Lonchura striata: one gene and its partners. The protein of the gene in region 1 binds, or shares a complex with, the protein of each later gene. Links are inferred from orthologs where the notes say so. Each region holds a gene or a part of one and is shown in the gene's direction. Other genes may lie near its edges.

Region 1 (8,148 bases):
TTAATTAATCACAGTAACGTGAGAGAAGAATCAGCGTTGTGTATGCATACAGTGTAATCCAGAGGTTCTTACAGGTGGACTGCAAGCACTGTGCCAGAACACTCAGCAGTGGGGCAGAGGGGCCTTTGACATTCAATTCACATGGAGGGCTTCTATTTCCTCTGTTTAATTATTTTTTTCATCTGTTTAAGTTTCAAATGGTGTAATACAGCTGTTGTTTTAGATTCAGAAAGCCAGCTGTGTCCTGGGAGATGTCTGGAGCACCATGGGCAGCAGGCCAGGCGGGGATTCTGCCCCACTGCAAGCACTGCATCCCAGTCTGGGGTCCCCAGCACAGGGAGACCAATGGACCTCCTGGATCAGTTGCAGAGGAGGAATACCAAGTTGACTGGATGGATGGAGCACTGCTCCTGTGAGGAAATGCTGAGAGAACTGGATTTGTTCAGCCTGGAAAAGAGAAGGCTCTGGGGTGAGCTCATTGTGGCCTTTCAGCAGCTGAAGGGAGCCTACAAAGAAGACAGAGAGGGAGGGACTTTCCTCAAGAGCATGTAGTGACAGGACAAGGGTGAATGGATTCCAGCTGACAGAGAGCAGGTTTAGATTAAATATGAGAAAGAAATTCTTTACTGTGAGAGCAGTGAAACACTGGAACAACATGCCCAGGGAAGGTGTGAATGTCCCATCCCTGGAAGTGCTCCAGGTCAGGCTGGATGGGGCTTTGAGCAGCCTGGTCTAGTGGAAGGTGTCCCTGCTCATGGCAGAAGGGTTGGAATAATCAGTATGGAAGAAGATACCTTGCATCATACTTTGGGAACATTATATTTTCTTAGCACAAAAGGAAATTAAATAACTTAAATAAAAAATATTGCAGTTCAGGTATTGAGATATAATTATGCATACAGTTACATGCTTTATTCAGAAAGAATTTTGCTTTGCTCTATTTACTTTTTCAAAGGCAGAAATTAAAATTCTTACCCACTTTCCTCTGTTTCTTTTGTTAACAACTATATTCAATTTCTCATATATGTTTTTGTGTACTGTGTCTGGTTAAAGACGAGCAAATAAGATGACTAAATTAGATAATTTAAATTAAAATCTGAAAACGAGCAAAATAGAAGGCTTAAGGCTGATCATCATCTCCATAAAACACTGTGCATTCCATACCAAACACAAGAAATTTATCTATTAAGTCCATGCAGCAGCAGCAGCTAAAGATAATCTTACAGAAAAATGAGCCCAGGAGCTGGTGAATGCAGACTCAAAAGGAGGTCATATCAAACAACAGCTATTTGTTGTTAAACCAAGCAAAACAACAAAATCTCTTGGAATAATCGCCTCTCAGGAATGAGGCCATGAAACACACAGCTCCTGAGCAATATCCCAATTTGTCAGATGAAGGTAGAAGCTGTGCAGTTCTAACTACAAGGATGAAATACTCTGTCTCACATAACCATACTGCTGTGAGGCAATGCTAATCAATGAGTTAGAGCTTACACATTCCCTATGTTTTGGAATAAAACACAGGGATCATGGGTGTACTGTCCAAATATAGACTAGATTTATCTACTTAACTATAGCTTCTTTCACTGTCTAGTAGACTATTTTATCTTAGAAGGAAATCCTTTCAGACATCAGGTACTGATCTGTGGCTGTTCCAGGTAGTGATTCAGGGCAGCACTGCTCCACAGCACCATGTAAGACATTGTTATAAAGCACTGCACTGACAACCTTTGTTCTGAATAGACAGAGTTTCTTGGCCACAACAGAGCTAGCACAATCATTCCTCAGCCCTCTTGGGCACTGTAAAAAGAGTTTATGCTATTCCATGATCCTAAGAACTGCTATGTGTGTGAAGCAACTAGAATACAATAATTTATCCCCTGCACCATTGCTGCATAAGAAGTAAACAACTGACATTGCTGAACTGTTGAAAAGCTCTCTTATTATTTCAAAAAAGACTGCATAAGGAAATATTGGTGAACCTGGGCCATGTAGTATTTCCACTTCTGAAAAATTAAAAATCTATACCAATTGGCTTCAAATTTCAAAGGAATGCATGTTAGAATGCTCAGGAGTTGCACTGTTTTTTTTGTAATATTGTCCATGTACAATCAGGTAAAATTTATCCACAGGGTTGTAATAGGAAAAGGTAGTAGAAAAGTCCTAATTATGAAATAAAGTGGGTTTGGGTTAAATAGAACTAAAAAGAGAAGTCAACCTTTATTTTTAAGACTAAGTTATATGTGCAGAAGAGGACATACCATACAATCGTGTTTTCCAGATACAGGGTGATAAAAAGAACAGGAACTTGGGGCTGTTTCATGTTTTTTGCCTATGAATGTAGTGACAGTGTTAAAGGGGAAAAAGGACAGAGAGAACACCCTAAGAAATACTCCTGGTGAAAAGTATAGAAATGTGTGCTCTATGCACATGATTAATTGAAACAAAATCCATGTGAAGTTGAGGTGTCCTACTTGTAGTATCTCCATTTCTGTAACATCTGCCGCTCTCATTATCACATTATTTCCACCTACCATAATCTCTGTTTACTACTTTCTTATCCCTTAATCTGTACTTTCACTTATAAATATCCTAACCACGTGTTATCTCAGAAATCATTCTTTATCCTTGATTTCCAAATCAGAAAAATATCCCTAAGCTTATTAATTTTTATCTCCACTAACTCTGTTCTTTCCTGAGCAGCAGTTGACATTGCTCCCTCTATCACAGGAGAGGTCAGGAACCCTAAAACAAGACTAGGTTTCCATAAGTGACATGAATTGTTTTGTAAAAGCTTTTATCCCACACAGTACCAGTGTGGAAGTCTGCCCAAGAGAACACAAAATGGACTAAGCACCTCAACAACTCAGGAGGGCAGAGAAGCAACAAACACCTCTCAGGTGCCCTGGCATTCTCCATAGCAGTGGGACAATGAAGATGACCAAATAAAATGTCTCTGAGGTCTAATAAAATCTTGAGAACTGATGTTCTTTAAGAAAGAATTCTGTAACATCCTTTACTAGGACTGAAAGTATGCCTACCAATCAGAAGATGAGAAAAATATTTAAGTTATCGTTTGAGTGTTATCTACTTCATTTTTTACATCATTACTTATGGTTTATTCATTGTCAGCACTCAAAGACCCCTGCAAAGAAGAAAATCTGACACATCCAACAAAAATAGAACGTTTGCTACTACAACTTTTCCATTGAGTTTTACAGGAAAAAAGCTTTTTAATTTGCTAAGTATAGTAATAGCTGAGTCTGACTTAAAGTTTTTGCACTCTAATGCTAAAACACCTTCTGTGCTGTAAAATGCTGCTCTTTTTGAGCTCATTCTGGGGGCAGAAGTTCTTGAGATTCTATAGAAATAAAAAATCCTGGACTCACTGGAATGATGAATCTTAATTTGAACAGATTTACCTTGTCAGCTTTTGCGCCTTATGTTTGGACCAAAGTTTATCCTGAGATTCACAAAGTTTTATCGGTTGTGCAGAGTTCTATCCACGAATTTCAGTGAAATCACTGCTTCACCCTATCAGTGCTCCCCAGATGGGGTTGTGGGTCCCAGTCGCACCGCAGCTCAGCTGGATTATCCCAAGGTCCCTTCGACCCCATTTGTTCTGTGATCCTATTATCGGGTAACGGGATCTTTCTTTTGCAATCCAAACAGCGCAACATGTGTGTGGTGGGGAAAGACTCATAAGCATTGCATAGTTTCCTTTGGATTTTTATAATAAAGAGCAAAACAAGTCATAAAACAACCTCTGGCAGGTCACAGATGTGCAGACAGCCCCGTGCCTGGGCTCTGAGCTAGGACAGAGAATTACAGAGTGGGTCAGGCTGGAGGGGGAATCTGGGGGGATCTGTTCCAACCTCCCTGCTCTAGCAGGGTCATCCCAGAGCACATGGCCCGGGATGGCATCCAAATGGTTCTGGAGTATCTCCAGTGGGGAAGGCTCTCTGGGCAACCCGTTCCAGTGCCCGGTCACTGCACAGTGAAGCTCTCTCTCATGTTCAGGTAGAACTATGTCTGCACCAATTTCCCTATTATCCCTCGTCCTCCTGCTTGGTACCACCGGGAACAGCCCGGCTCCATCCTCCTGGCACCCTCTCCCCCATTTAAATACTCATATACATGGATGAAGAAAGGTCCATCAGGAAAGAGAGCGGGATGAGCAGCTTTGAGCCGTGAGGTGGGATAGCTCGTTTGGCTTTGGGTTTGTGGGGTAAAGCTGACGGATGAGTCCAGGTAAGAGCCCGCCCGAGAGCCGACTGCCAGCAGCCAGCAACGGCGGGGCTGCACCCCGAGGTGCTTCCCTGCATCCCGGCAGCACAAACAGCAGGACGGGGGGACTGAGCAGGACGGGGGGACGGAGCGGGACAAGGGGACAGAGCAGGACAAGGGGACGGAGCGGGACAAGGGGACGGAGCGGGACAAGGGGACGGAGCGGGACAAGGGGACGGAGCGGGACAAGGGGACGAGGAGCTCGACCCCCTCCCCCCCCGGGGTACTCCATTGGTACAGCTCAGCCCGGCTCTCCCCCGCCCCGCCGAGCAATGGAACCTCCCGCGCGCGAGCAGTTTAAATTCGAGCCCCTCCCCAGCAACTGCCTGGGGCACGCGCGCGGGGGCGTCACGGGCCGCGCTGCTCTCAGCCCCGGTCCGCCCCCGCTCCCGTTCCGCTCCCGCTGCGTCTCCGCTTCCAGCCCCGCTCCCGCAGCGCTCCCCCCCATTCCGCCCCCCGCCCCAAAACGCCTCGCCGCCGCCGTGCGCACGCGCGGCCGCGCCCGCCGCTCTTCCCGCCGTGCACGCGCGCCCCTCCCCTCTCCCCTCCCGGCGTGGGCGGCGCGCGCGCGGCCGCGCGCCTCCGGCGGGGCGGGGGCGGTGCCGCGCGCGCAGCAGCCTCAGGGCCGGCGGCGGGAGCGGCGGCCCCGGTGCGCGGCCTCGCTCCGCCCGTCCGCAGCGCCGCTGCCCCCGCTCCGCGCTCCCCCGGCCCGGCCTCCCCGCGCCCCTCCCGCTCGCCGCCTCCCCTCTCGGCCCTGAGCCGAGCCCGGCGCGCGGTGCCCGCGACGCCGCCGCGCCCCAGGTGAGGGAGCGGGGGAGCAGAGAGCGAGCGGGGAGCGCTCGGTCCCACTCCCTCCTCAGCGCCGCCCCGCCGCCGAGCCCCGCCGCTCCCTGCCTCGCTTCTCCCGGCGGAGCCGCACAGCCCCGCGCCAAGATGGGCTGCACGCTGAGCGCCGAGGACAAGGCGGCGGTGGAGAGGAGCAAGATGATCGACAGGAACCTGCGGGAGGACGGCGAGAAGGCGGCCAGGGAGGTCAAGCTGCTCCTCTTAGGTAAGGGATGCCGTGAGGGGAGGCTCCTCTTGAGGCGGCCGCTGCCCGGAGCTCCCTCGCCTGCCGAGGGTACAGTTTCATAGGAAGCCTCCGGGCTGGGCGGGGGGCCGTGCTGCCCTCGGACCCCGGGGTGCGTGCTGGGGGCCCCTCAGAGGTTTTGGGGCAGCAGCGTCCTGGAGCAGGTGGAGCCTCGGCTGCTGGAAGGATTAGAGGCAGCGCCCGGGGAAGCGGCGCGGCGTGGGCTGCCCGGGCCCTGGCTTTCATAGGAACGGGATAACGCATGAAACTTCTGACCTGCAGTCTCTGTTCCTCTGATGAAAGGAAGGAAACCTTACGTTGGGGGGATATTTGCTCTTCATGTTTTCTTGTAGACCCGAACAACTCCTGAACTGTTGCTGCAGCGTAAAGTATAAAAAAGTGTCAAAAGAAGGCAAAGCACCATTTAACTTTTGGGTGGGGTTTTTTTTTCGGTTTTTTTTTTTTTTTTTTTTTTTTTTTTTTTTTTTTTTTTTTTTTTGGAACAGTTTCTGGGATCTTACAACGGGAAATACCAGCTTGATGGAGCTACTTACGTGTGTAATATGACTTACTGTCATTGTGCGTTCTTCTTCTTGAAACTTGCCTTTTTTGTGTATTTTAAGATATTCTTGTGTGTAAAGAAAAGGTTATTTTTAAAATTACAAGAAAATAGGAAGTGAGAATTTTAAATAGAGTACATTTGTTGAGGATTAAAACTACTGGAGGTTGGAGACAACTGAATGCTGCAAGATTTGCATTGAATTAATGTTGTAGGAAGTTTCGCAGTATGTTCTGTATAGCTAAACCAGACTGGATCTAATAGCCAGTTAAAATAGCTGCTGAGTTGCAGCTTCTCTCTCAGAGGTGCCGTTTTAGGCAAACTTTTTAAATGATGCACAATATCTCACTCTCCTTGACATTGATTTTGCTCTCCCGTAGTGCTCTATTGACTACAAACGTAGTAGACCTCTTAACTTTGTGTTGCTAAATTCTAAGATGGCTCCAGAAAGGGACAAAAAATTTATTGTAGATGAAGAAATGAAACAAATCCAGAATGGGAAAAACAAAGATCCTAAAATAACTTTCTAGATTTAAAATTTAACTTGTGAGGTAAGCCAGAAACAAAAGCTCGAATTGTTCTCCAGGAATTGGAAGTGGAAGCCTATTGGTGGAAACCTAAATCTGCTCAGTTTTGGGCTGGTACTGTGCCTAGTCCTGAACATCGTTGGAATCCTCAGATTATTTGTGGAAAGCTTTTCCTGTATGTGATAATAGCAATGCTGCAGATGTTGCTGCCTTTTTAAAAAGTGGCAAAGTAAAACTTTGTGTCATCTGGCAAGGCATTTGAAATTAATTTTCAATTTTTTGCTGTTCTGTGTGGAACTTGTAGTGCCTGTAGTTTGGTACTGGTTTTCCTATTTTTATCATAATTCTTGGCTACGGATGACATCTGTTTAAAGATGCTTTAAACTTAAGAATGGATTTTGTCACTATTTTAATGCTCTTACGTACTAAGTCCTATGTTATGAGCTCAAATTTTATAAATTCTCTGTTTCTGATGCTGGAAAGCCTTTCTGCTGGGCTCTCAGGAGAGCTAAGAGCATGGAACAAATGGTCAAATTGCATGTAGGTTCTCAGGGTGCCCTGAGCAGCAGTTCTCTTGGGTTAGCATTTCCTTCTCCCCTGCTAAAAAGAGGTGTGAAGGCTGGCAGCCTGGCTTCTCCTGGGACCAGTGCTGGGATTATTGTTTTAACAATGATTGCCTAAATGTTTAGTGAACTCTGGATGAGCCTTTGTGCATGCACCCATGGATATTTATTTCACATGTTTTGGAATGAAAGTTTTTTGCCTTCCTCTTCCTTGCAAGTCTGTCAGGTGTCTTGAATGTGATGTGAATGCTTTATCTGGTGGCAAAAGTATTTAAAGTTATTTCCACTAGAGTCACTTTCTTCTCACCACTCACTTTCCCAATTGCTTGTTCAGCCCACATGTCATAGTTTATCATCCACTTGGTTGTACTCCTACATCTATTTATGGGTTTGTTCTGCTAAAAAGGTACTGAAATAAAAGGAAAAGTAAAAATTGTGGTCTGCTGCCAGGCAAATGCAATGAGCGAGTGGCAGTTGAAACAACCTTATTTATGTAAAAAAAGGTCATGTAACTGTATACCTATTATTATTATTATAGTTGACCCATTAAATTGGATTTATTCCAGCATATATAAAAAATCTATTTTTGCCTGGTGATTAGAGAAGCCTACTGAAGTTTGAGCTAGAATGCTCAATTGAGGGAAGATGTGTTCGTAAAATTAATCGATTTCTAGACTGGAAACTTAATTTACTCCATCATATGCTTTTCTAAGTTTTTTTTTCTAAAACAGGAAATTGTAGGGATTCAGTTGAGAGAGATGTGACATTGCTGTACCTGAACCCTCACTGTGAACAAAATCGCTGATACCTGTTAAGTTTCTATTTTGTTGTCCTGTCTCTAGGAATAAGCAGATATATTTAATCTACCCAAAATACTATTGAACTGGATTGTCTGAGTTTTTTGTCATATATGTAAATTGGTTCATCACTTCCTAAAATTTTGAATGCAGGTATTAGGAATAAAAATACTGGATTCTAAACATTATTCATGTATAGCTATTTTAGCCTTGTGATTCTGTGCACTTCAATGTGCTATCCCCAGGAGCAGCAGAGCCTTTCCTGGAAAATTTCTGAGAACCATCATTCTTAGAAGTAAGCTGAATTTGACCTTGTAGTTGGTAAGCCAGATGGAAAATACTTTTT
Region 2 (7,953 bases), on another chromosome or scaffold:
TCCCAATGTCTGAATCCTTCTGGGAGCTCCATTCTCCATCAGCTGGGAGCAGTTCTGGGGATTTTCTGCGTCCACTCCAGGCCATGGATATCAGAGATTCCCTCTGCACTTTTTATGGAATAAAAATCAGGAATTCATTCGTGTTAGTGAATCTGGCTTCCATCAACAGCCCCCTCTGGATGGATCCCTACATTTCTGGATCTGTTTAACTAATTCTGAGACAACAGCTGGATTTTGGGACTGGGCTCCTGTGTGGGAAAGGCTTGTATCCAGCACGGGGCTGAGCTCTGGATTATTGGGATCAATGATCCAGATCCATTCAGGGAAGATGCTGTGGGCAACCCCAATGAGGGTCCAGGTACCCCCACATCTCCCTGGCACCACCAAGCAACTCCCTCATTTCAGAAACAATCCCAGCCTGGCAAAGGCTCAGGAATAAAACGTATTTTGCTGTTATTTTTACAAATTCCAGGGCAATTGGAGCCTAGGGAACCTGCACCAAGGCCACCCCCCCACAGCCAAGAAAACCCCAAAAAAGGCATGGATTGCTCAGAGCTGGCAGAAATTTGAACCTTCCCACCCGGAGCTGGGCAGTTCCTGGGCCCATCCCAGTGATGGGAAGCAGGATGGGGCCATTGGAAAAGTCAGCTTCAAAAATACATGTCCCAGCAAGGCTCTGCTCCATGGAATGCTGAGTTCCCAGATGTTGATTGCAAGGAAAACTGGGTTTATTAATTAAAAAAACCATAAATGAGGCAGGTTTCCTTATGGATGTTTGGGAATTTGAAGGAATCTATTGTTATTAAGACAAATCCAGCTGGTGCCTTAAAGGATTGGGAGTTTCCTGAGGGGTTTTATCAGGCAGATCCCACTGATTTTATTGCTGGGAGATTTCAGGAATGCTCCCCTCTATCCACGTTTGGTGTCTTCACTCGGCACACCAGCAGCAGGAAAAGCACATCCAGAGGACTTTAGGATGATGCTGAAGGAGTTCAGGGTGAAAGATGAGCCTGAATTTGGCTCCAGCAGTTCCCAGCACAAGGAATTGAATCCTGTCAGCATCTCCCATTTTCCAGTGGGATGTGCAGCATCCAGACCTGGAGCCCTTTAGGCATTTTAATAGAATCTCTTATTTTTTAAATGGAATTTCTTATTCCAAGGCCAGGTTGGATGGGACTTGGAGCAGCCTGGTCTGTGGAAGATGTCCCTGTCCGTGGCAGGTAATGGAATGGGATGAGTTTAAGGTTTTTCCAAACCCAGCCACTCCAGGATTCGATGCCACCTCTGCTCGTAAATCCCTGGGCAGGTGACATCCTGTCTGTCACCTGCTCAGGGGCTCCAAGGCAACAACAGAGTGTCCATGCCTGGCAATTCCTCATCCCTGCTCCAGCAGGAATTGGAAATCATGGAGAAATCTCCTGAAGTGGCACTTCCATCACTCCTGGGGAGCAGGATGGGGATGGGAGGGGGTGGCTGATGCCACAGATGAGGAATCCATGGAACAGGGCCCAGCCGTGTCCCGGGAATGTTCCCATCAATCCTCCTCTGCCAAGGGTGGGCTTTGGGAGCCGAGACCTCGGAATTGTCCCCTGGCACAGCTCTGAGGGAAGCACGTGGAAAATTGGGGGGAATGATCCGAGACTGGAGGCAAACAGAGGCTCTGCGAGGGTATCTGGGGGTGTGGAGATCCCTGAGCTGCCCATCCCAGGGGTGGGATCAGGGATATGGTGCCAGCCCCGGGAGCACAGCGGGGTTTGGTCCCAGCCCCGCCGTGTTTCTGGGGCTATTTATAAGCTCGAGTTGCACAAGGTTGGGACTGGGGTTTTTGGTGTTGTTTTGTTTTTTTTTGCCGCGGTTGTATCAAATCAGCGAAAAAAGGGAACGGGAGCCGTCTCTTGGACATCCTGTCTGTGGCTTCTTTCTTTGGGCAGGGAGTTCGCGCTTGGATCGGGAGGCAGTGACGGGATGCGGAGGTCGGAGCGCGGCGGGTGTGGAGCCAGGGATGAGATGAGCTCCCTGCGGGAAAGGCAGGGCAGGCTTGTCCCTGGGCATAAACCCAGCTCTAAAGCCCGGCACTGGGAGCTGGGATACGCAGCGGGATCCTCCCGTCTTGTCCTCGTAGCTGAGCCCAGCTCCTTTCCCAGCCATTTATCCCCACGGCTCTGCCCGGGGCGAGGGAAAGTGCTGCTGGGTGCCGGAGAAAGCTCCCCTGGAGAGGGAAAACTTCCTCCAGCTTCTTCCCCACTGACTGCGACATCTGTTTCGGGATGAATCAGGCGGGTTCCCAGCGCCTGTGTGGGAGGGAAGAAGGGCGAGAGCTGGAGGGGTCGGACCTGCCGGGCTCCGGCCGTGTATCCCGGTCCCATCCGCGCATCCCGGCTCCATCCGCGTATCCCGGCTCCACCCGCGCATCGCATTCCATCCGCACAATCCGGCTCCACCCGCACATCCCGACCCCATCCGCGCATCCCGACCCCATCCGCTCATCCCGGTCCCACCCGCGCATCCCGACCCCATCCGCGCATCCCGGCTCGGCAGGGAGCTGCTCCAGGGCGTTTAATTAGCCCGAATCAATGTAGAGCTTTAATTGCTTTGCTCGGTGTGGGTGGCACTCGGCGCTTGCCAAGGAAGGACATGACAGCTGCCAAAGGCTGCGCGGCCGCGGCGCCTGGAATTGCCGCTCCCGGCGCTGCTCCCGTGCGGATCCTGCCCCAGCGGCAGCCCCGGGAGCGGGAGCGGGGATTTCTCCTTCCCCGCAGGGCTTTGCTGAGCGCCCTGGAGGGAAAAAAACCCAACCCGCAAACGCTCGGGATGGGAAATCCTATCCCGAGTCAGCACCTTTCACCCTGCTAAACGCAGGGGTCAGGGTGAGAGCAGCATCCTGCATCCTGCCGGGCCTGGGCAGTGCCGGGTGCCTGGGGGGTTGGTTTTGGGGGGCTGCAGAGCTCGGCCTTGCTGGGATCACCGGGATTGAGCCAGGTCATCCCCCGGAGCTGCCGGGATTTCGGTCATTGCTCGATGTCCCGGGGTCAGGCCTTGGCAAGGCCACGTGCAGGAGCATCCATAGCTGAGCATTCCCAGCCCCAGCAGGCCCTGGGGTGGTTTTGGGAAGTCCAAAAACTCCCACCAGGTCCCGGCTGGTGCCACCCAGAGCTGCCTGGGCTGAGCATCTCTTGGTGGCACCGTTTAACTCCAGACACACAAAAGGAAATCCCATCAGTTCGCAATGGATTTTCTCCCTTGCTGGCTGGATTCAGGATGTTTTTTGCCCCTGTCTTTACAGCTGAGGATAATTAATTAGCCTTAATTAGTATCCTGTGGTAGATGAACTTCCTTTCTGCTGGGCAGAGGGTTGGAATGTCTGGTGGCAAACTCAGGGCGGTGATTTTGGGGTGTCCCAGTGGGGGAAAATCCTGCTCCTTTTCCAGGCTGGAGGAGGGTGAGGGGGCACCAGTGCCAAAAGTTCTTGTGTTTCCTTGTGCTGCCTTTGCTCCCAAGCCCTGCACTGGCTCTTATCCCGCTGGGATGGGTGCTGGGACTGGGATGGGTGCTGGGACTGGGATGGATGCTGGGATTGGGATGGGTGCTGGGATTGGGATGGGTGCTGGGATTGGGATGGGTGCTGGGACTGGGATGGGTGCTGGGATTGGGATGGGTGCTGGGATTGGGATGGGTGCTGGGACTGGGATGGATGCTGGGATTGGGATGGATGCTGGGACTGGGATGGATGCTGGGACTGGGATGGATGCTGGGATTGGGATGGATGCTGGGACTGGGATGGATGCTGGGACTGGGATGGGTGCTGGGACTGGGATGGATGCTGGGACTGGGATGGGTGCTGGGACTGGGATGGGTGCCGGGATTGGGATGGATTCTGGGACTGGGATGGGTGCTGGGACTGGGATGGGTGCCGGGATTGGGATGGATGCTGGGACTGGGATGGATGCTGGGACTGGGATGGATGCTGGGACTGGGATGGATGCTGGGACTGGGATGGGTGCTGGGACTGGGATGGGTGCTGGGACTGGCATGGGTGCTGGGACTGGGATGGGTGCTGGGACTGGCATGGGTGCTGGGACTGGGATGGATGCTGGGACTGGCATGGGTGCTGGGACTAGTGTGGTTGAGGCTTGGGAGCGCGGGAGCTGCGTGGGGAGGGAAGGAATTTTCCCGGTGCCACATCCAGCCTGGGGTTATCCAAACCTCCTGCTCTGTGTGGGTGGAGGCTGCGCTGCTCAGTGCTCCCAGTCTGGGGGGCTGCCCCAAAATCCTCTTGTTTGTCCCCCTGAATCCCATCCCTGCATCCAGCCTTTCCCATCCCTCCTCCCCAGGGGACTCTGGAGCTTCTCCCAGCCCCTCCGTGGCCCCCGAAGAACTTTTCTTGCAGGTGTTAAAGGGTGACAGAGCTGCCACCACTGAGCCTCTGCGGGCTGGGGGGGCTGCCTGGAAGCATCTGCAGCATCCTGGTGGTAATGAAATCCATCGGGAAAAGCAGCCCCTGAGCAGCAGGAACGGCGTTTGGGAGCCAGATTTGCCTGAAGGGAAGTGACTCAACGTCTTGGAAGGATTTGGGGGCGGTGTGGGGAGCAGAGGACAGCGGCTGCCCCAGGCTGGGGACAGCACCGCGGCGGGGGCTGGCAGCCACCTGCCTCCCCTTGGGCTCCGGGCTGGAGCAGCATCCCCGCGGAGCGCTCCGGGCTCCGTTATCCCTCCGTGGGACGGTGCGCTCCGGCCCGGGGGGCGGCACAGGAAAGGAGGCCCCTCGGGAAGCGTTTGTTGCTTCCTCACGCTGGCTTGTGATCCAGGCCAGCGTTCCCAGCTCCCGGCGTCACACCCTCTCCCAGCTGTTGCTCGCCGAGCATCGCGCTGCCAAGAAAACCTTGGTGATGGACGCAACTCCCTCCCCGCTGCCTTAAAAGCGGCGGGGAGCGGCACCGTGCCTGTGTGTGTCCCGGCACGCCGGGATCCGCCTGGGAATGGGATCCTGCCGGCACCCCGGGCACCCCGAGCCCGTCCCGCCCGGCACGGAGCAGCGGGACAGCGTTGGCACCGTGCGAGGTACGGACAGGTCACTCGGTGGGGGGACACTGCGGGAGCAGATGGCGCAGGACGAGGTGGCAGAGCGATGGGGCAGATCCAGGCCGTGCCACTCCCCATCCGTTCTTCTCATGGGTTTTATCATTTTGGGCGGCGTTTCCCACTCTCCTGGCACACCGCTCCTCTGCACCCCGCTGGGGATGTGCCACCAGTGTGGAATATCGCGGGGCTCCTGGCACACAGGGACACCGGGGAGCCGGTCACGAGTCCCCAGCCTGGCTCCACAGGGGATTGGCACATCCCTGCCCACTTCTCCACGGCTTTCTGGGGCTTCTCCTTTCCCCGCAGCAGCCCCAGGAACCGGCACATCAGCATTTTTCTAGCCCTGATTCAGCTCAGGGACACAGAGTTGCGACACAGAGTTGTGCAAAGGCGGCAGCGCCTCCGATTCCTCTTTTTCGGCTCTCACGGGAGCTCCTCCACGTAGGACGGGGTCAATGTCCCCACGTCACGGGACGTGGTGGCCTTTAGCTCCCTCCCACCTGCCACCACTCCCTGCGGGCATCACCCCCTGTCCCCTGGTCACACCTGGGTGGGGCTTTTCCAGCTCTGAGGGAACTGGGATTTATTCCCTGTGCGTGGCAGAAGCCAAGAGCTGGATAACTCATGGATCTCGTTGAGGGAGAGCAGGTGGGAGCTCTGGTGGAAGGTGATGCTCTTTCACAGCACGGTGCAGCTTTTGCTCCAGCTGTTTTGCATCTCCCTCTGGCTCAGATGTCCTGGCTCAGGGCAGGGATTTGGTCCTGCACCGTGGATGCCACTGGTGATTTGCAGCTCCTGGCTGGCACAGGGTTGAGGTCAGGGTGGTGAGGGACAGCCCTTGGCTGGGGACGCTCTCTTTGGGGGTACAAACCAGGCCAGGCTGATGTCCTCACATGGGATGAACAGCTGGGAATGGACAGGACTCGTGAGCAGCTTCTCTTCTTCCCTGCACCCCAGGAATGGCTTTGGGTTCCCCGTCTCCTGCGGGTGTGAGCCAGGAGCATCCCAGCATGGATTTGGGGTGCCTGGGGAGCAGGGATGAAAGGCAGCCGAGGGGACCCTTTGGCTGTGCTCACAATGAGGGATACCCAAACCTTTCCCAAAGGCTCCCAGGAGATTCCCAAGCCACTGTGGGCAGCACAGGAGCCGTGGTGGACGGGACATGTCACCGCTGCCACATCCCCTTCTGTGTCCGGCTAAACTCCGCAGATTCAACATCCTCCCCCAGAGCTTCCCCCTTCCCCTTCCAGCTCTGCTGAGGCCAGCAGCTGGTTTGTTCCACGGGCTGCCTTTATTTTCCTCATCCTCCCATCCCATGTGCTTCTCCTCGGGATGAGACAGCTCGGCAATATCCGTGTCAGCTCCAGCTGGATGCCAAAGCCACAAGCCCGGGGTCATTCCCATGCCAGCCCTAACGGGGCTGGAGGAGAAGCAGAGATGTCTAATCCAGCTTCTGAATGCTGAAAATTCCTTGGGGATTTATCCAGCTCAGGTAAACACCCCTGGATTTACATATATTCGTTAATTTATATGTTTTGTAGGGATTTGGGAGGAAGGGTTTGCTGGAGATTTGCAACCACTTGAGTTTTTTTTTGCTCCCTTGTTGTTCTACAGTGGGTTTGGGATCTCTGGGATCCCCACTGTCCTTCACCACAAAGCCCCTAATTTTCCCTACAACCCCAGCCTCTTTTGGAGCTGGGCTTTGCAGCCTGGGGGGTGGCAAAACAGCACGGAAGGGAGAGGAGCTGGCAGAGAATTTGGGGGGGTTGATGTCCTGACAGTGTGGCAGTGTCCCCTTGCTGGGGACAGGGAGAACAGGGTGGCTTTTCTTTGCCGTGCTGATCAGCATTCAGCTGGGGACACGGAGCACAGCTGGGAGGATGCTCCCACGGATCCGGGGTGACTGAGCCTGCTGTCCCCTGCTGTGCCACATCCCCTGCGGGGTCACGTCCCCCCCGCAGCCCTATTTCCGTTTGCTTGGGTTTCTGTCCCTTTGTGCGCCCCAAATGCAGAGTGACGTCCCCAAGGTTTTGTCCCCTGACAAAGCCCAAGCCGTGGTGAGGGACGGCATCACTGCACTGCTGGGGTGTAGCAGGGAGGATGCTCTGGAAAAGGGAGGTTTTTTTTGTCTTTTTATTGCCTGAGAAGTGCCAGGAGAAAACCTTGGATTATTAGAAGAGAGCAGAGGAGATGAAAGAACTTTTATTATCTTGGAAGTTGAGTCATTTTAAGAAGCTCAGAAGTACAGACTGCCCTTTTTCAAGGAAATCTTTGCCTGTGTAGGTGAAAACACCCGAATTTTCCCCCTTTAATCCTCGAACCTTTCCAAGAGCAGAATGGATGGAGCAAAAGGCCGGGATTTTACGAACAGCGTGGCTCTTTCAACACTTGGTGCTAGGGAAGGCCGGGTTCCTCTGCTGGAGTTTCACCCTGGGAGGGGTCTTTCCTAACCCAAATTTTGAGATTAAACCCCTTTTCCTGGCAGGACTGGAGCGCTTTCCCCCATGGGGGTGACCCCACACTGTGGCCGGGAGGATCCGTGGGATCCATCCCATCCTATCCCGACCTGACCCGCTCAGCCCGGCCGGCTCTGCCCAGATAAACACTGACTCATGTTTTTCTGTCCCACCCTGGGCACAGCAGCTTTTTTAAGGCTGCCTTTTCCAGCTATTCCCTTTTTCCTGCGCCGTTCACACGGATGGGGTGCAGGGAGAGGCTGGGGATGCCGGAGGCTGCCGGGTGTGGGGGTCCCGGATCCGTGATGCAGAACTGGGATGTGCCTGAGTGGATGCAGGTAGGGATTAAGTTTCCCACTGCTCTTGGAGCAGAGCTCTGTGCCTCAGTTTCCCCCGTGGCTGTGCCTCATCTTTTTGC
Region 3 (7,532 bases), on another chromosome or scaffold:
TTTCTTTATTCAGCCTCTTGAACAGCAGCTTGCTGGAGTGTGGCTCTGCAGCCATTCCTCCTGTCTGGATGAGCCTAGGAGGGAAGGGATGTGATTGCCCAACCAAAGGCTTCTTCCCATCTTTCTTGGGCTATGCTGTTACTGTTGGAGCTGACCTCACAAGCAGGGCAGCCTCATGATGTACTGTGAGTGATCAGTGTAACTCAGGTACACCCCGAAACAGGCGGGTCCGAGCAGCTCACAGGCACGTCACCGGTCCCAGGGGAGGAGGACACCTGCAGGAGACCTGGCTGAGCCTTTGCCACATCTCCAGGGCAGGACAGCACCATATCTGTATGACAGCTGGAGCTCAGGAACACAGTGGGGCTACCAAGGCATGAGTGAGACTAAGCACTAAAGTGTTTCAATGTCCCTATCCCTTCTGTGACATTTCTAATGTGGGAATAAATGTTTCTCTTGATTTTTGATATCTGTTTGAGCCATGCTCCTTCTGCTTGTAGAAACTGTGCAAACCTTCAGCCTTCTATGGCTCTTCCCTTCAGCAGCCCTCAGGATGAAACATTTTCATCCCTAGACATAATGGCTCTCTTCCTCACTCTGTGTAATTTCTACATCCCCACTTTTTTAATGTAAAATAAATGCATCTCCCACCAGTGTCTGGAAAGACACCAAAGCTCAGTTGTCTTCTTGCATCTCTGCATAACAGTGACATGGAGGGATGAGGCTCTCTCTGCTGGCTTTTCTCTCAAAAGTGAGGCACAGAAATTATTTCTGTGATTTTTGTATGTGTCTGTGTCTGAGCAGCTGCTGCTCACATCTGCAGCAAAAGCTGCTGGATGGGCTCTGCTGCAGGACAGCATGGAAGGAACGGGATGCTGATGTGGCAGGGATGCACCTCCAGGAGCGCCTCTACCCAGACAGAAGAGATTAGTGTTTTGGAGAAATTAAGATAAAAAAATGTCCAGCAGGGGCCAGTGCAGTCGAGGCTGTGGTGTGTGTCACGCTGCTGAGCCACGTAGGGCAGCTCGGCGTCCCAGAGCTCCTGGGAGGATGGAGCGGGTACACCCAGGCCACTGCTGTTCCCCACTGGCCTGCAGAGGGGACTCTAGTGAAACTCCTGAGAACAAAGAGAGCCTCTTTTCATAGCAAATCACCTCCATCAGGCTTTCCTCCATGGCAGCAAAAGCTGAGTCTGCTGGGGAGAACAGCATTTTGACCCTTCAGGCTAGATGTTCCTTTACCAAGTGCTTTAGCCCACAAAGCTTGAACTTGCCAGTGATACTGTGCAAAACCCTGCCTCCCAAAGCTGCTCCTGCTCTTGCAGAGCATGAGGAGATGCCAGTGGTATTGAAGTACTTCTGGTCTCCCTAGATATGGAGAGACATGAGTTTTCAAATTTGGAAGGCCACTCAGAAAGAGATAGAATAAAAAGACCAGGGTGTTTGCCATTCTTTAGCCACAGTGTCATTCTTTACTCTTGATTCCTTCCTGTAAAATCATTGTAGGCCTCCCAGTTGAGAAAGCAGCACACTATACCTAGCCCTTCCCAGCAAAAGTCTCTCTGGTTACAAGGGATGCAATGTCTTTTTTGTTTCAGCTTGGAGAAACAAAAGATGTTTTCATCCATTGTGTATGGACCAAAATGAAAGTCCTTTCAGCAGCTTCCTCAGAATTTTTTATTCCTGAGCTGTCCTCAGTACCAGAGTGTGAAGAGGCTGAAGATGGAGAGCAGAGATATGGTTGATGTGGCAGTTGCCTTTCAGATGGTATTGGTTTCACATCTGTCTATCTTGCACTACAAGTGCACACCATGATAATGAGTAACACTCTTATCTAGGTTTTTCACTCACAGCAGAATACAGCAGAAAGCCTTTTGTGTCTCCCAGGGACATCTGCTAAGGATCTCTGTGAGTCAGCTTGAATTGGTTTATCTTTAATTGAAGTCTCCAGATAAAACCTCTGTGGGTAAAATTTGGCAAACTTAATTTCTTTCTGAGGGTAATAGCCTGCTATGTGCTTGGTTCCAGTTAAATTCTGGGCAGCACAAGAGGAAGAGGTTGATGACCACCTTCAGGAAAACCCTATTTCTAGGAGGTTCCTTCTACCTGGAGGTAAGAAATGCCTGGGGCCAGCCTCTCCTGTTTGACCCTCTTCTCAAGGATTTTGCCTGCAAAGAGCCACACTAGTGGCACTGTGCTGAGTATTGGTGACCCAGGAGCAGGTGCCACCACGGTGAGGGTGGCCGTGTCTGTCTGGGTTCTGCCCACATTTCACTGATCAGCAGCAAACCAGCTTGGCATGTGCAGGTCCCCAGTGGGGAAACTCCTACTGATCCATCTGTGGCTTCTTTACAAGGCTCAGGGGGGGAGGGAGGGACACAGCTCTTCATCATCCCCACGAGGACATGGGAGACAAATTTAGATTTGGGTGTCCTCCAAACAACAGCCCATCTACAGACAGGCCAGTGCTGCTCCGATAGTATCAGATTATCACTGGCATTGAGGAAGCTTTCATTCAGCTTTCTGAATCTCATGTTTTTCACACAATGAGAACATTTCCTTAGTACCATCTACCAGAAATTACCTTACTGCAAGCTAAAAGTTCATAATTTTGGCAGTCATAGATCCTACTTTACAGGCGTGGGGAGAAACCAGCCTTTTGATGCTGTCCTAAAAACAGTGCAGAGTGCTTTACATCTGTTTTTAAAGAATTAGTAGAATGGGTCTGCTGGCACTTGTCAGAGAAAAAGGTGAGTATTGCAGATTCACTGCTCTGGCCCTTTATAATTCCCTACCCTTTAAACTTTATTTCCAGCAGTGTATCTTTGCTGTCCCTGCCTAACACCTATACAGGAGTCAGTCCCCTGATTATTTCCATGGGTGCTTGCCCTGGCCCACCCGGCTGACATCACTTGCATAATTTGGCTGATGTTGGAGGCCCACGGTTTGACCTTAATTACATTGCTATGTAGCTGTTCCGGATGTAACATTTGATAGATAAAGCATAACACAGTAAAAAATCGCAAAATGTAACTGGCAGAAATACCAGAACTGAACTTACACAAAGATACTTGCCTGGTAACTTGCTAACCAATCCACAAGCAAGAGCTCAGGCAACCTGGAAGATACTCTCCACCCCAGAATCCCACCAAGGTCAGCCTGCCTGAAGACAGCACAACTCTGCCTCTGGGGAGAGGGCATTTTAATCTCCCTTGACTTTTGAGGCAGTACCTGGGCGTGTTTCCAGGACCACATTCCTTGTGTCCTGGAGGGCCTTGGTATTGGTAGAGCAGCCAAGTGGATGCAATGTCTGTTTCTCATACCACACCCCACTGCACAGCCTCCTGCCCTGCTCCACCCCAGAGGAACTGATTTTTGGGCACCAGTAGTGCCTGGCAATGTTCTTCACAGCATCCCAGCTGTGCTGCACTCACAGTGCGACCCTGAGCAGGATGCTCAGGTCAGGGGCCAAGAAGAGTCCTTGGTTTATGAACATCCCAATATTTTAAACCCTCTGACTCCACTGGGCTGCAGAGAGACATTATACTTAAAATCTTGTTTACAGGCAAAGAAGGAGCACAATGTATCATAGGTAGAGCCAAGAATGTATTGTGAGTGCAATGGCATTCTTGAGACTCCAATTGTTATCAGTTTAAATCTGCTGGTTGCAGAAAAGCAAGAACATTATTGCAACTTCAATTTTTTGCACACACATAGTTTCTATCCATTTTCCTGGTGTTATGCTCACACTTATCCCTGCTCCTTTGGGCCCTAAGGCTGGTGGTTGTGGTGAAGTGAGGTGTCAGAAAGAGCTGTCAGCACCTCCAGTCCTTCCCTGGGATGAGTGCGGTGTTCACCCTGATTTTCCTTCTGTCTTTTTCCAGGATCTGTTTTGGATTGTTTTTCTGTTTTCCAACATGCTTTTATATCTTATTCTCTCTTCACTGCTTTATACACAACCGACTATAGGCAGTGCCCCTTATGTATGTTAGACACTAATTTTGTTCTCTCTGTTACCACTAAACCTAGTTTTGCCATCTCCAGATCTGCATTTTTTTTACCTGACCATCAGTGATTTGTATAGAGCTGTGTGGCTCCACAGTGCCAGCCTCTGCCCCATTTTCTACACTCCCATACCTGTACTCCTCTGTGCTGCATCCTGCATTCCCACAGCCCAAGGCCCCTGCTATTGTACCAAACTCATATTTCTACACACTGTGTCTGAGTGGAAAATGTCTCATTCTGCATAGAAGGGGGGAAAATAAGGGGGTGACAGCTTTGACGTGCTGTCACAGCACCTCAGGCATTTCTGTCTCTGTGCAAATCCTGTCCTGTGTAAATACTTCTGTCCCTCTGAGTGGCTGCATCCTACTTGACAGTTTCACAAGAAGCCAGCAGGGCCCAAGCACAGCACATCAGTACTTTCTCAGCTCAGCCCCTAAGCTCAGCCCAGGAAGCTAACCATGCAATTTATGTAGGCATGAGCATTAGAGAAGAGGAAACATGCATTTAAATCCAAACAGGCTCAGCTTGAAGAAAACATTGGTTTCCAATGCAGCTATGAATTAAGGTAAGAGGCAATTGTATTTTCCCTATAATTTGACAGGGAAAAATGAGACAAAGGAAATTCTCCACTGCTTAGTGCTTGGAACCTAAATGATATTTAATTTGGGTAAAGATGATGTGGGTACCGTTTACAAACTGTGAAAGTAAAAAGGGAAGCACTTCTGTTAACGAAGTGAACCAGGGCAGATAAATTTTACTCAGTCACTAATTATTTGTGTCATCCTGTGGTACAATGAATATTTACCCTGGATAGAAATCCTCAAGGTTAGTAAATGCTGATATATGACTGGTGTGCAACAGTAACCTAGAAGAACAGACAAGAAGATACAGCCCTTCTACTTCATTAGAAGTTTTTCCTTTGATGCCTGCAGAGATTTCACAACTCACCAGCATTGCTTGCTTCTAGTTTTAGTCAATGAACCAACATCCAAAACATCACTGACACTGAAAGACAGCCAAAGCAGAAAATCTGATAGAGTCAATAGAAAGCGTCTGACACAGACAGACCCGCAAGAGAGCAATGGAAATTAAAGACATTTGAAAACACGTACCTTTCTGTATAATATACTTAATTTTTCTGTGACTCAGCTTTCCACAGGAAACATGTTACATGAACATGTCTGATAGTTTGTGTGAGACATTTGGGTAATGCCACAGTGGTGGCAACCTGCTAAGTATTTGTGTGATAAAAACACAGGTCCACAGCAGTGGTTTCCAAAATCTGGTCTGTTGGGGCAAGCCCTGTGTGCAGGCAGTGCAGCCAGAGGCAGGGAACTGGATGTCAGGATAATAGATGGCAACTGCAATGAATCAAAAGGGTTTGGGCAGTGCAGAAAAAGTGCAAAAGGGAGAAGAAAAGGCTAAAATTTGACAAAAGACAACGCATAATAAATTGAGAGTAAATCCCATTAAAAAAATTATATTTCAAGGAAGGAGCAGGCACTTAAATCTCATCCATACATAATCAAGAAGGTTTAATGTGCTCTGCTCTCTGAAATGATGGAGAAAGTTATTTAAAAGATCTCCCACTTCTGGAGAGCCTTCTCTGATTTCTCAGGGGTGCTGGGGCAATGTGAAATTATTAATCACAAAAAGGGGATGGAGGCAGGAAGCAAATAGATGCCACAATAAAGGTAGTGAGAGGATGGAGCCAACAGTAACCATAAACAAGTACAAACAGTGCTCATAGCTACAAATAATAATCTGATTTTGCTGTCCCTTCAACAGAAAATACAAAAGAAATTTGAATGCTGCTTCAGAAGAGAAAGCCTGGGAAAAAGAAATACCGAGGAAGAGCAGGTAAGAGAAAACACTGGCAAAATGGTCAGCTATACATTTGAAAATATAGGTACAGAGTGCCTGAGCAATTGTGCAAGCAGAAAGGGCAATTAGGGGAACTAACAAGCTAGGTGAAATACCTGTGAAATAAATTTTCTAAGAAAAACCCGATCCTGGCAGTCACCATCCAGTCACTATCGTCAAATGACAACCCCAAAGACCCAGTTCCCTGAGGGCAGCTCTTGGGAGGACACCTGCTCCCTCAGCTCTGCCACTGCTTCCCAGCAGCCAAGTTAAAGTGCTCGCCAGCCTCTGTGAGGACCAAAATAACTACTGCTCTACAACAATGCTCACCATTTACTTAATTTCCTATCCCATGGCTGATCCCTGGGAGCAGGGCACTGCTGGGAAACCATTTCAGGCTGCAGAAGCTCTGTCAAGGTCCCTTGCTTCTGGTCATAGGATCAAGACCACCCTGAGAGATAAGGATGCAAATTTCAGAACCATTTCAGTGATTTTTGAACCTCAACTTCAACATGCAAGGGAGACATGGGAGTATGAGTTGTACTGTCAGGTCATCTTTCATGGAGTCTTTTCTGAAACAGCTTCACGTGCTCAAGAGACTTGGTCATGCCCTGAAACATGAACCTATTCCCTGCTCCATGAAGTGTGTGGGCACCAAGGCTCCTGCATAGCCACCTTGTCAGTCTCAGAGGGGCTTTGTCTCCCCAGTGCTGAGGGAAGGAGTTGAAATCACTGCAAGCTTCAATTTTTTCTGTAAATACACCAGCCACAGGGGTGAGCTGCCAGGGGTCTGGCAGGACATAACTTGGCCCCAGCAAACCACACACTGCTGTGGTGCAGCTGTCCCTTCCCAGTGGCTCACAGCAAGTCTGCCTGGTGAGGCAAAAAAAAATCAGCAAGTGGGGGGATGTTGCTGAGGGCAGGATGTGCCCAGGACACCTGGGTTCAGTCCCCTGTGCCTGCTTTGTGATGGCAGCACAAACAACCTGAGTGGGGCCACCAGACTGGCCAGCACACTGAAGGAGCAAGGGCAAGATTTTGTTCAAAATAATACTTGTGTTGTTGCTCTGAAAGACAGGTGATGAAGCCCTTGACACTGGCAGAGACATCCAGAAGAAATTCCATGTTTTTGGCTTTTCTTAATAAATCATGAATATACCTAATTTTGATGTGATGGGCTAATATAAATCTTGTGTTCTGGTTACTTACTGTTACCTCCAGGTGTGCATGGAGCATCACTGAGGAAGCATTTTCCAAAACTATAATGCCCTAGGTAATGCTGAGAGAGACCCTTGGGATTTTGGACTCTGCATTATCTCATGCCTTCCATTATCAAAGTCTGATCTCTCCACATGAATTTTTCTACCAAAAACCATTGGTTTAAGTTTGTAGATTTACATGCCTCTCATTTTCAACTAGTGCTGTCTGCTTCTAATTTAATTTGTGATATTGGTGTAAAAACTGTAGAATTGGATCAGGGAAGTGGCATTTTTAAAATATCTTTGACCTAAATACCGTTGTAAAGGGATCCAAGGCCTCTGCAATAGTCAGTCATATTCTTATCAGCAGTGGTTTTATCAGCTTCTATTTCTGAGTAATTTACTTATGACACTTTAAGTGGCCTAATTCTTTGGAAGCCTCAACATAATGTTTCTGCACTTTCAA
Region 4 (7,416 bases), on another chromosome or scaffold:
TGCATGAGTGGATTACTGTACTGTTTATTATTTGTTATTTATTATTTATTATTTGTCGTTATTTATTATTTATTATTTATTATTTATTATTTATTTGTTATTTGTTATTTGTTATTTGTTATTTGTTATTTGTTATTTATACAAATCTGCAAATTTAATCAAAAAATCTACTTTAATAATTTCTTGCAGTACTCTGAAGTTTAATATGCAGAATTAAAAACAAGAATAGTGGGCATGCAGACACAGTGAACATTTAAAAAAACCCTGGCAAACACTCAAAATTGTACTATTATTAGCCTGCTGCTCAGTTTTCCCAAATAAAAAGTAATGATGGTGTAAATCAAGAGGGCTCCATGTCCCCGAGCATAATCCATTTGCTTTGTTTGAAATTCCATCAGAGCTTGTTTGAAATAGGATTTCTTCAGAATCCTCCAGCAAAAGTAGCCTGGGTTGGAAGTTTTTAAGAGGAAGCTTGAAAAGCCTGAGAAATTTGTAAAAGACTGCTGAATTTGTACAAATATTTTGTGAAACTCTTATCTATAAGCCTCTGTGAGCTTGTTCACATGTGATGACAACTTTCGTATTGCCTGACAATATAAATTACAATTTCAAAATGAACACAGATCTCGGGGCATGAGACCATAGAGGTTCATCTCCCGGGCTCCTTCCTGTGACAGCTCCCAGGGGTGTGACCAGCAGGGTGTCCTGGGGACAGGGAGGCCAGTGGCATCCTGGGGACATCAGGAAAAGCACTCCCAGCAGGTCAGGGAGGGATCCTGCCCCTCTGCCCAGCCCTGGGGCACATCTGGAGTGATCCTGTCCCTTTGCCCAGCCCTGGGGGCACATCTGGAGTGACCCTGCCCCTCTGCCCAGCCTGTGAGGCACATCAGGAACGATCCTGTCCCTCTGCCCTGGGGCACACCTGGAACTATCCTGCCCCTCTGCCCAGCCCTGAGCAGAGACCAGAGAGGCTGTGGGGTCTCTTCCCTGGGGATATTCCAGAGCTATGTGCACACAATCCCATCCACGTGCCCTAGGATGGCCCTGCTGGAGCAGGGAGGTGGCACCAGCTGAGGCCCTGTGGTCACTTCCAGCCTGAGCCATGCTGGAACTCTGTGCTTTACTTTGGTCCTTTCTATATAAATGCAAATTCCAGTTCTATGTTCAGCAGGACAAAGCCCCTGGCATTCTAAAGGACGTTAAATCCAGTTTGGAACAAACACGTTTGCTGGGAGGCAGGAACATCTCACAGCAGCACTTCAGCAGGGGGTTAAGGCCTCCATCTCTGGTGGTGCTTGTAGGAAGCCTCGTCTGCATGGAAGAAGTCCAAATGAGAATAAACACAGGGAGCAGTTGCAAATCAGTGTTATATAAAAGTTATAAACAGCCCTGATTTACAGTGTGCTACCTGAAAAGTGTTTGCACTCAGCAAAGAGGTCAAACAGCAAAGGAGACTGAGCAGGAAACTGCTGCAGAAACATCCTGGGCTGGGCAGTGGGATGGGAGCACACAACTTGTTCTTCAATCCTGTGTACAGGCACCAGCAAGAAAAGACTTTCATCTCTTGCACAACCATTTTCCAGGGCAAAACCTCTCAGCACAGAATCCCAGCATGGCTCAGGCTGGAAGTGAGCACAGGACTCAGCTGGTGCCACCTCCCTGCTCCAGCAGGGCCATCCCAGGGCACAGGGACAGGGTTGTGGGCACACAGCTCTGGAGCATCCCCAGGGAGGGACACCCCACACCCTCACTGAGCAGTCTGGTCAGTGCTTGGTCACTGTCCAGGGGAAAATTGTGCCTCCTGTCCAGTGCATCCCTTCCTGCCTGCTGCCTCTTCTGCTTCTCAGCAGCACTGAGCAGAGCCTGCTCCCTGCTCTCACACCCAGAGACAGGACCTAAGCTGGGTCCCAAAACCCAAATTGGGTTTATCATAATTGCAGTGGGACAGGGAGCAATTCAAGGGCAAAAAGACTGCCTTAGTAACAGCAAAAAAGGAGCTAATGGATGTATCATTTTGCTGAGAGTTGCATCTTTTGGCAATGAATGTTATCCTCTTAGACTGAGGGCAGGTACATGGGGATTTCCTGTATTTTCCTGTTTGCTCATGGTGGGGAGGAATTGTGCAAAGTTCACAATACCTCTTCACCAGTTGCTCAAACAATGAAGTTACCAAGTGCCCAACAATGCTGTTTGCAAAAAACATCGTTGCACAATTTCTTTGTCACCTACATAACAAAATTCCGCGTTTGACTCCACAGAGAGCTTTGTGCAATACATTTCTAAACATTTTTTTTAAATGAGCATGATCTTAAAGAAAGGAATGAATATGAGTAAGATAGTTGCAAAAAAATCTCCCAAATCTTATGCATATCTTTAACACAGAGAAGATGTACTGGACCTATGTGAATCACAAAAACATCAGTTTAGCTGAATATACAATAATGTGTTACACATGTGGCATTTTTCTAGGTCTTGAAGTGTGGCAGCACATTTCTCTCCCTCTCAGGATTTTTCATAGAGGTGCACAGAGAGAAATGAAAGAGAAAACTATTTCTATTTCTGATCTTTGTTTTTCCCATGTGGAAAGTGTTTGGAGAATTGTTTACCTGCGGTGAGCGCTTGGTTGGATTCTGGTGAGGATTGATTGATCCTGATGGCCAATCCAATCCAATCCAATCCAATCCATCTGTGTCTGGACTCGAGAGAGAGAGTCAGACGTTGTGTTAGTTAGAGTCAGAGAAAGTAGTATGTAGTTTTAGTATCCTCCTTTTGTATAGCATATTAATGCATTTTAGCATAGTGATAATACAGAAATCATTCAGGCTTCTGAATTGAGTCAGACATCATCATTTCATCCCATTGGGTTCGCCTGCATTTACAATATTGAAGTAGTTGTGTAAGAAAGCTCCACTACAAGAAACTCCAGGTACTTGAGCAGAGAAGGGTGACAGCGCTGTGGCTGATGAGGGCTGGCACGGTCCCAGGCCGGGACGTGCTCTCGGATCCTCCGCAGACTCTGGGGTCAGCTCGGGTGAGCCCCCACGTCACGTCCCCGCTGCAGCCAGCTCGCATTTCACATTTCACATTTCACATTTCACGTTTCCGCAGGTTTGCGGCCACACCCGGGGCTCTCCGGCGGGCGGGCAGAGCGGAGCCGCGGGCAGCGCAGCGCCAGAGCCGGGCTCTTCCCCGGAGAGAGCGGAGCGACCCTCGGCAGCGTCCCGGAGCGCCGCGGCGGGACCGGCCGGCATCCCACCGCTTCCCACCGCTTCCCGAAGCATCCCACCGCTTCCCACCGCATCCCACCGCTTCCCACCGCTTCCCGAAGCATCCCACCGCACCCACCGCACCCACCGCTTCCCGAAGCATCCCACCGCACCCACCGCACCCACCGCTTCCCGAAGCATCCCACCGCACCCACCGCTTCCCACCGCTTCCCACCGCTTCCCACCGCTTCCCGAAGCATCCCACCGCATCCCACCGCATCCCACCGCATCCCACCGCATCCCACCGCATCCCACCGCATCCCACCGCATCCCACCGCATCCCACCGCTTCCCACCGCTTCCCGAAGCATCCCACCGCATCCCACCGCATCCCACCGCATCCCACCGCTTCCCGAAGCATCCCACCGCATCCCACCGCACCCACCGCATCCCAAAGCATCCCACCGCATCCCACTGCTTCCCAAAGCATCCCGCCGCTTCCCACCGCATCCCACCGCATCCCACCGCTTCCCACCGCATCCCACCGCATCCCACCGCATCCCACCGCATCCCACCGCTTCCCACCGCATCCCACCGCATCCCACCGCATCCCACCGCATTCCACCGCTTCCCAAAGCATCCCACCGCATCCCACCGCACCCACCGCATCCCACCGCATCCCAAAGCATCCCACCGCATCCCACTGCTTCCCAAAGCATCCACCGCCTGCCACGCCTCCCATAGCATCCCACTCCTTCACATAGCATCCCGCCCCTTCCCAAAGCATCCCGCCGCTTCCCGTAGCACCCCACCGCTTTCTAAAGCATCCCAGCGCTTCCCAGAGCATCCCAGAGCATCCACCGCCTGCCACACCTCCCATATCATCCCACCGCTTCCCAAAACATCCCATCCCTTCCCACCACCTGCCACGCCTCCCCCCCCCCCCCGCATTCTATCACTTCTCTTCGCCTCCTATCGCTTCCCATCGCATCCCATCTCCTCCGCCTCCACCGCGCCCCGGCCCAGCCCAGCCCCGGGCAGGCGGAGCGGCTCCGCCCGGCCCCGCTGCCCGAGCTGCCGCGGCCGCTGCCCGCTCTCCTCCGGCCTTTGGTGAGCGACCAGCGGCGGGGAAAGGCAGGAGGGAGCTGGGGCGAGGGGCAGCGGCAGGGATTGGAGGGACTGGAGGGATCGGGGGGATCGGAGTGACCGGAGGGATCGGAGGGGTCGGAGGGACGGGAGGGACCGGAGGGACGGGAGGGATGGGAGGGATGGGAGGGATGGGAGGGATGGGAGGCATCGGAGGCATCGGAGGCTGGGGGAGCGCGGGCGGCTCCTCGGAACTCGCTTGTCCCCCCCGAGCGCAGCGAGAGGAGCAGGGAAGGAAAGCAAACAGGAGCAGCACAGCTCACTAGCAAACACATTCTGCTTTTGAGAACTCTCCCTCGGCACAAACTGGGGAGCCCTTGGCAGATTTTGGCTGCTCCTGACCCGGCGCATCCCAGCCCAGAGCAGCAGAGTGGAGCAAAGAGTCTCCCGTAGGGGCAAACCGAGCTGAAGGAAAATCCTAAAAGTGCAGCAATAGCCTGTAGGAAGCTCAGCCAGCTTTTCCCCCGGAGGACATTTGTCCAAGCTGCAGATCCAGCAGCTCCAAAGGTCCCCAGGCTCCCCCCTGCCCCCGGGCAGAGAGGAGTCGCTGCGGGTCACGCAGCAAAGACCAGAGCAGGGAGGGGATGCTCACATGGAAATGGGAAGGAAGGGAGGGGAAACAGATGGATAAAGCCCAGATTCCCCACTGTACTTAACGGCCACACTTGAATTGAGATGGTTTTGAGGAGTTCCTGTCTGCACAGAAAATATTTATGCTCTTCTTTCAAGCATCTTTCTGGTAAGGGAAGGGAAGGGTACCTGGCAGGGAAAAACAGGCAGGGAGGGGTGGGTTCCTTGTTTTTAGGGAGAACAGTGGAAGAAAGGATGAGAAATAACTTAAACCCTCAACCCCTTCTGAAAACAATGGTGCTCTTGCGAGGAAAAATTGTAAATGCATTATTTTCATACATATCTTTCCTCATATACCAGTCCAGCACATCCTGAGGGGGCTGAACCTAAAGCAGGGACATAACCTGCCCTAAAACTTACCCCATTCTTGATGTGGCCACCCCAGGCTTTCCTTTACAGACAAGAATGATGGAGAGGAATGGGAATTCTTGGATAAGATGTTTTTAAAGTTTTTACTTGCACCACACCAGGCTCTCTCACTATTAAGAAACCCTGTGTCCTTTTACCATCTGCTTAATCCCACAAAAAACATTAAAGCTGCCTGAAGAAAAAAAAAAAAAAAAAAACAATCAAGGAGCTTGTTTAAGTCAGGTGTGTATTTCTAGAAAGGAAAATTTTCATATTTACAATGAGTTATTGCTAAAATATGAAGGAACTCATCAAATTACTATGGTAAATTCACCAGATGTTTGAAGAGACTGAATATACAGGTTCCACTCCTCACACCCACTAGGATTTTTAAATCTATCCATTTTGTGATGGATTTCACACAGTTCCAAAGCACCAAAAGTTCACTTGAGCTGAATTAAAGTAAATCCCTAAAGACTTTTCATTGTGATTCAACTTCACCACTGAAAGAACTCCCAGCTCTTATTCACATACCTTATTTTTTACTTTTGTGAGTAGTGATCTCCCAAGCCACTTGGAAAGAACCAGATCTTTATGTTTGAATGACAGGGTGAGTTACATTTTTAAAAGTTAATTGTATTTCTGATGCAGAGGGATAAAGTCACCAATTTTACAGTTGTCAGGGGTTGGAGTCAGTAGTAGGACAAGGTGGAGTCCAAAAAAAAATCAAGGTTTTTTTTGCTATCCTTGTAGGAAAGATGTCCTGTTAGACTGAGTTAGAAAAATGGGTTCCAAACCCAGAACAGAAAGGCACCACTGCAGCTGCTCAGCTTTTCCCCACATTCCCTGGAAATTCCCCTTTGTTTATAAGGGATTTTACAGCTCAAGGGTTTATTTCCTGCATCACAGCACAAAGGACTTTTCTTTCATTACAGAGTAATTTCACAGGTCTGGCATCTATAGCAAACTCTCTTTTTACACACAGGTAATAGAGCAAAGAATATAAGACAGCACAGCAGTACTTAAAGAAAATTATATTTAAATACTCTTTTGCTAAGAGATTACATTGATGACAAATTAGTTGATATTGATAATGTTTAGACAAGCTGGGAAAATTAATACCATATCTGGAAGCTCTGGGATTCTTGTCAAGATGAGTTTTTCCTCCAACCTCTTGGAAAAAATAATCCAATAATCCATATTTGGGAAATGCTATCACAAGAACAAGACTGTATCTTGTCATGGAAAAAATGACATTTCGAACAGCGTAAATTAGAAAACGGAGCTGCTAAAAGAAGAGTTGCATGGAAGTCTGAGCTTATATTTGGAAGGCCAAATCATTCTTTGGAATGCATCCATCTTCTGTTAACTGTTTTTAATATTCATGGAATATAGGCCAAGTGTTAAAGAGAGTTGTTTAAAAAATGCCAGCCAGTGTCAAAAAAGTCTGTATCTATCTCCTGATAATTTCAGGTTAAGGCTGGAACTTAAACATAATAAATTTACTTAGGAAAAAAAGGAAGTAAATACAGTGGTGTGTAGAAAATTGTTTAAATAAGTAGCTGGTTATGTTGCTTGAAGGATACTGAAGCTACACTTCCAAACTGTCCTGGCTGGGCTGAGACATTGTCATTTGAGTGGGAACAACAGGCAGGTTAACCAAGTTTTTACATTTACTTTTTATAAAAAATATTCCTTGAATATTGCCAGCCATTGGCTAGGGACTGTTCCCTTACAGAGAGATAAATGAGTTTTTGAGAAGGAAATTAATCAAACTTCTAGCATGTTAGTACTTTCAAAAACTCAAGAATAATTTAGGGGAAAAAAATCACTAGAAATAAATAAGTTTCTTAAGTACAACAGAGTGAGTAAAGACCATCTGAATTAAAATCTCACTTTCTGCTTGAATTTAGTCTGATGAGCAAGAATTTTGCTCTTTGGAGCTGTAATTTCTTAAAAATCTATCAGCAAGAGACATGCCAGTTTCTGGAAACTTTCTCCCACTCAGTCAGGGCTTAATAGATTGTACCTGCACTAATGAGGCACCGAGGCATCCACTTAGCATCTCCCAATAGATTCTTGCTCCT

Evidence for each region.
Region 2: the proteins of GNAI1 (region 1) and CMKLR1 are in contact, whole or in part, in a cryo-EM structure (PDB 8SG1), measured with the Homo sapiens proteins. The link is inferred for Lonchura striata from reciprocal best matches to the Homo sapiens genes GNAI1 and CMKLR1. Residues at the interface, in NP_002060.4 of Homo sapiens: Glu28, Ala31, Arg32, Val34, Lys192, Asp193, Leu194, Asp315, Phe336, Thr340, Asp341, Ile343, Ile344, Lys345, Asn347, Leu348, Lys349, Asp350, Cys351, Gly352, Leu353, Phe354; in NP_001135815.1 of Homo sapiens: Asn74, Phe78, Arg137, Ser140, Val141, Pro144, Val145, Ser147, Gln148, Asn149, His150, Arg151, Ser152, Val153, Ile243, Lys246, Leu247, Leu252, Ala253, Lys254, Lys257, Pro258, Ile261, Ile262, Met319, Gln321.
Region 3: the proteins of GNAI1 (region 1) and CX3C chemokine receptor 1 are in contact, whole or in part, in a cryo-EM structure (PDB 7XBW), measured with the Homo sapiens proteins. The link is inferred for Lonchura striata from reciprocal best matches to the Homo sapiens genes GNAI1 and CX3CR1. Residues at the interface, in NP_002060.4 of Homo sapiens: Glu28, Ala31, Arg32, Glu33, Val34, Asp193, Leu194, Phe336, Thr340, Asp341, Ile343, Ile344, Lys345, Asn347, Leu348, Lys349, Asp350, Cys351, Gly352, Leu353, Phe354; in NP_001164642.1 of Homo sapiens: Val52, Ala55, Leu56, Ser64, Thr66, Asp67, Leu70, Arg127, Ala130, Ile131, Ala134, Ala135, Met138, Asn139, Asn140, Arg141, Gln144, His145, Thr217, Leu218, Asn223, Lys226, Ala227, Lys228, Ala229, Ile230, Leu232, Tyr293, Gly297, Glu298.
Region 4: the proteins of GNAI1 (region 1) and HRH1 are in contact, whole or in part, in a cryo-EM structure (PDB 9LRD), measured with the Homo sapiens proteins. The link is inferred for Lonchura striata from reciprocal best matches to the Homo sapiens genes GNAI1 and HRH1. Residues at the interface, in NP_002060.4 of Homo sapiens: Arg32, Asp193, Leu194, Asp315, Phe336, Thr340, Asp341, Ile343, Ile344, Asn347, Leu348, Asp350, Cys351, Gly352, Leu353, Phe354; in NP_000852.1 of Homo sapiens: Arg125, Ser128, Val129, Pro132, Leu133, Leu136, Lys137, Thr140, Ile213, Val217, His220, Cys221, Arg409, Lys412, Ala413, Gln416, Leu417, Cys471, Asn472.

What each region holds. Positions count from the first base shown.
Region 1 is NC_134607.1:62,428,618-62,436,765, forward strand, and holds the start of GNAI1 (guanine nucleotide-binding protein G(i) subunit alpha-1), read left to right. Parts: upstream 1-5,101; 5' UTR 5,102-5,220; coding exon 5,221-5,338; intron 5,339-8,148. UniProt on the Homo sapiens protein: Guanine nucleotide-binding proteins (G proteins) function as transducers downstream of G protein-coupled receptors (GPCRs) in numerous signaling cascades.
Region 2 is NC_134620.1:11,454,883-11,462,835, forward strand, and holds the start of CMKLR1 (chemerin-like receptor 1), read left to right. Parts: upstream 1-4,822; 5' UTR 4,823-5,058; intron 5,059-6,350; exon of another isoform or gene 6,351-6,571; intron 6,572-7,720; exon of another isoform or gene 7,721-7,873; intron 7,874-7,953. UniProt on the Homo sapiens protein: Receptor for the chemoattractant adipokine chemerin/RARRES2 and for the omega-3 fatty acid derived molecule resolvin E1.
Region 3 is NC_134603.1:112,954,585-112,962,116, forward strand, and holds the start of CX3C chemokine receptor 1, read left to right. Parts: upstream 1-4,451; 5' UTR 4,452-4,569; intron 4,570-5,792; 5' UTR 5,793-5,864; intron 5,865-7,532. UniProt on the Homo sapiens protein: Receptor for the C-X3-C chemokine fractalkine (CX3CL1) present on many early leukocyte cells; CX3CR1-CX3CL1 signaling exerts distinct functions in different tissue compartments, such as immune response, inflammation, cell adhesion and chemotaxis.
Region 4 is NC_134614.1:5,356,008-5,363,423, reverse strand, and holds the start of HRH1 (histamine H1 receptor), read left to right. Parts: upstream 1-4,240; 5' UTR 4,241-4,315; intron 4,316-7,416. UniProt on the Homo sapiens protein: G-protein-coupled receptor for histamine, a biogenic amine that functions as an immune modulator and a neurotransmitter.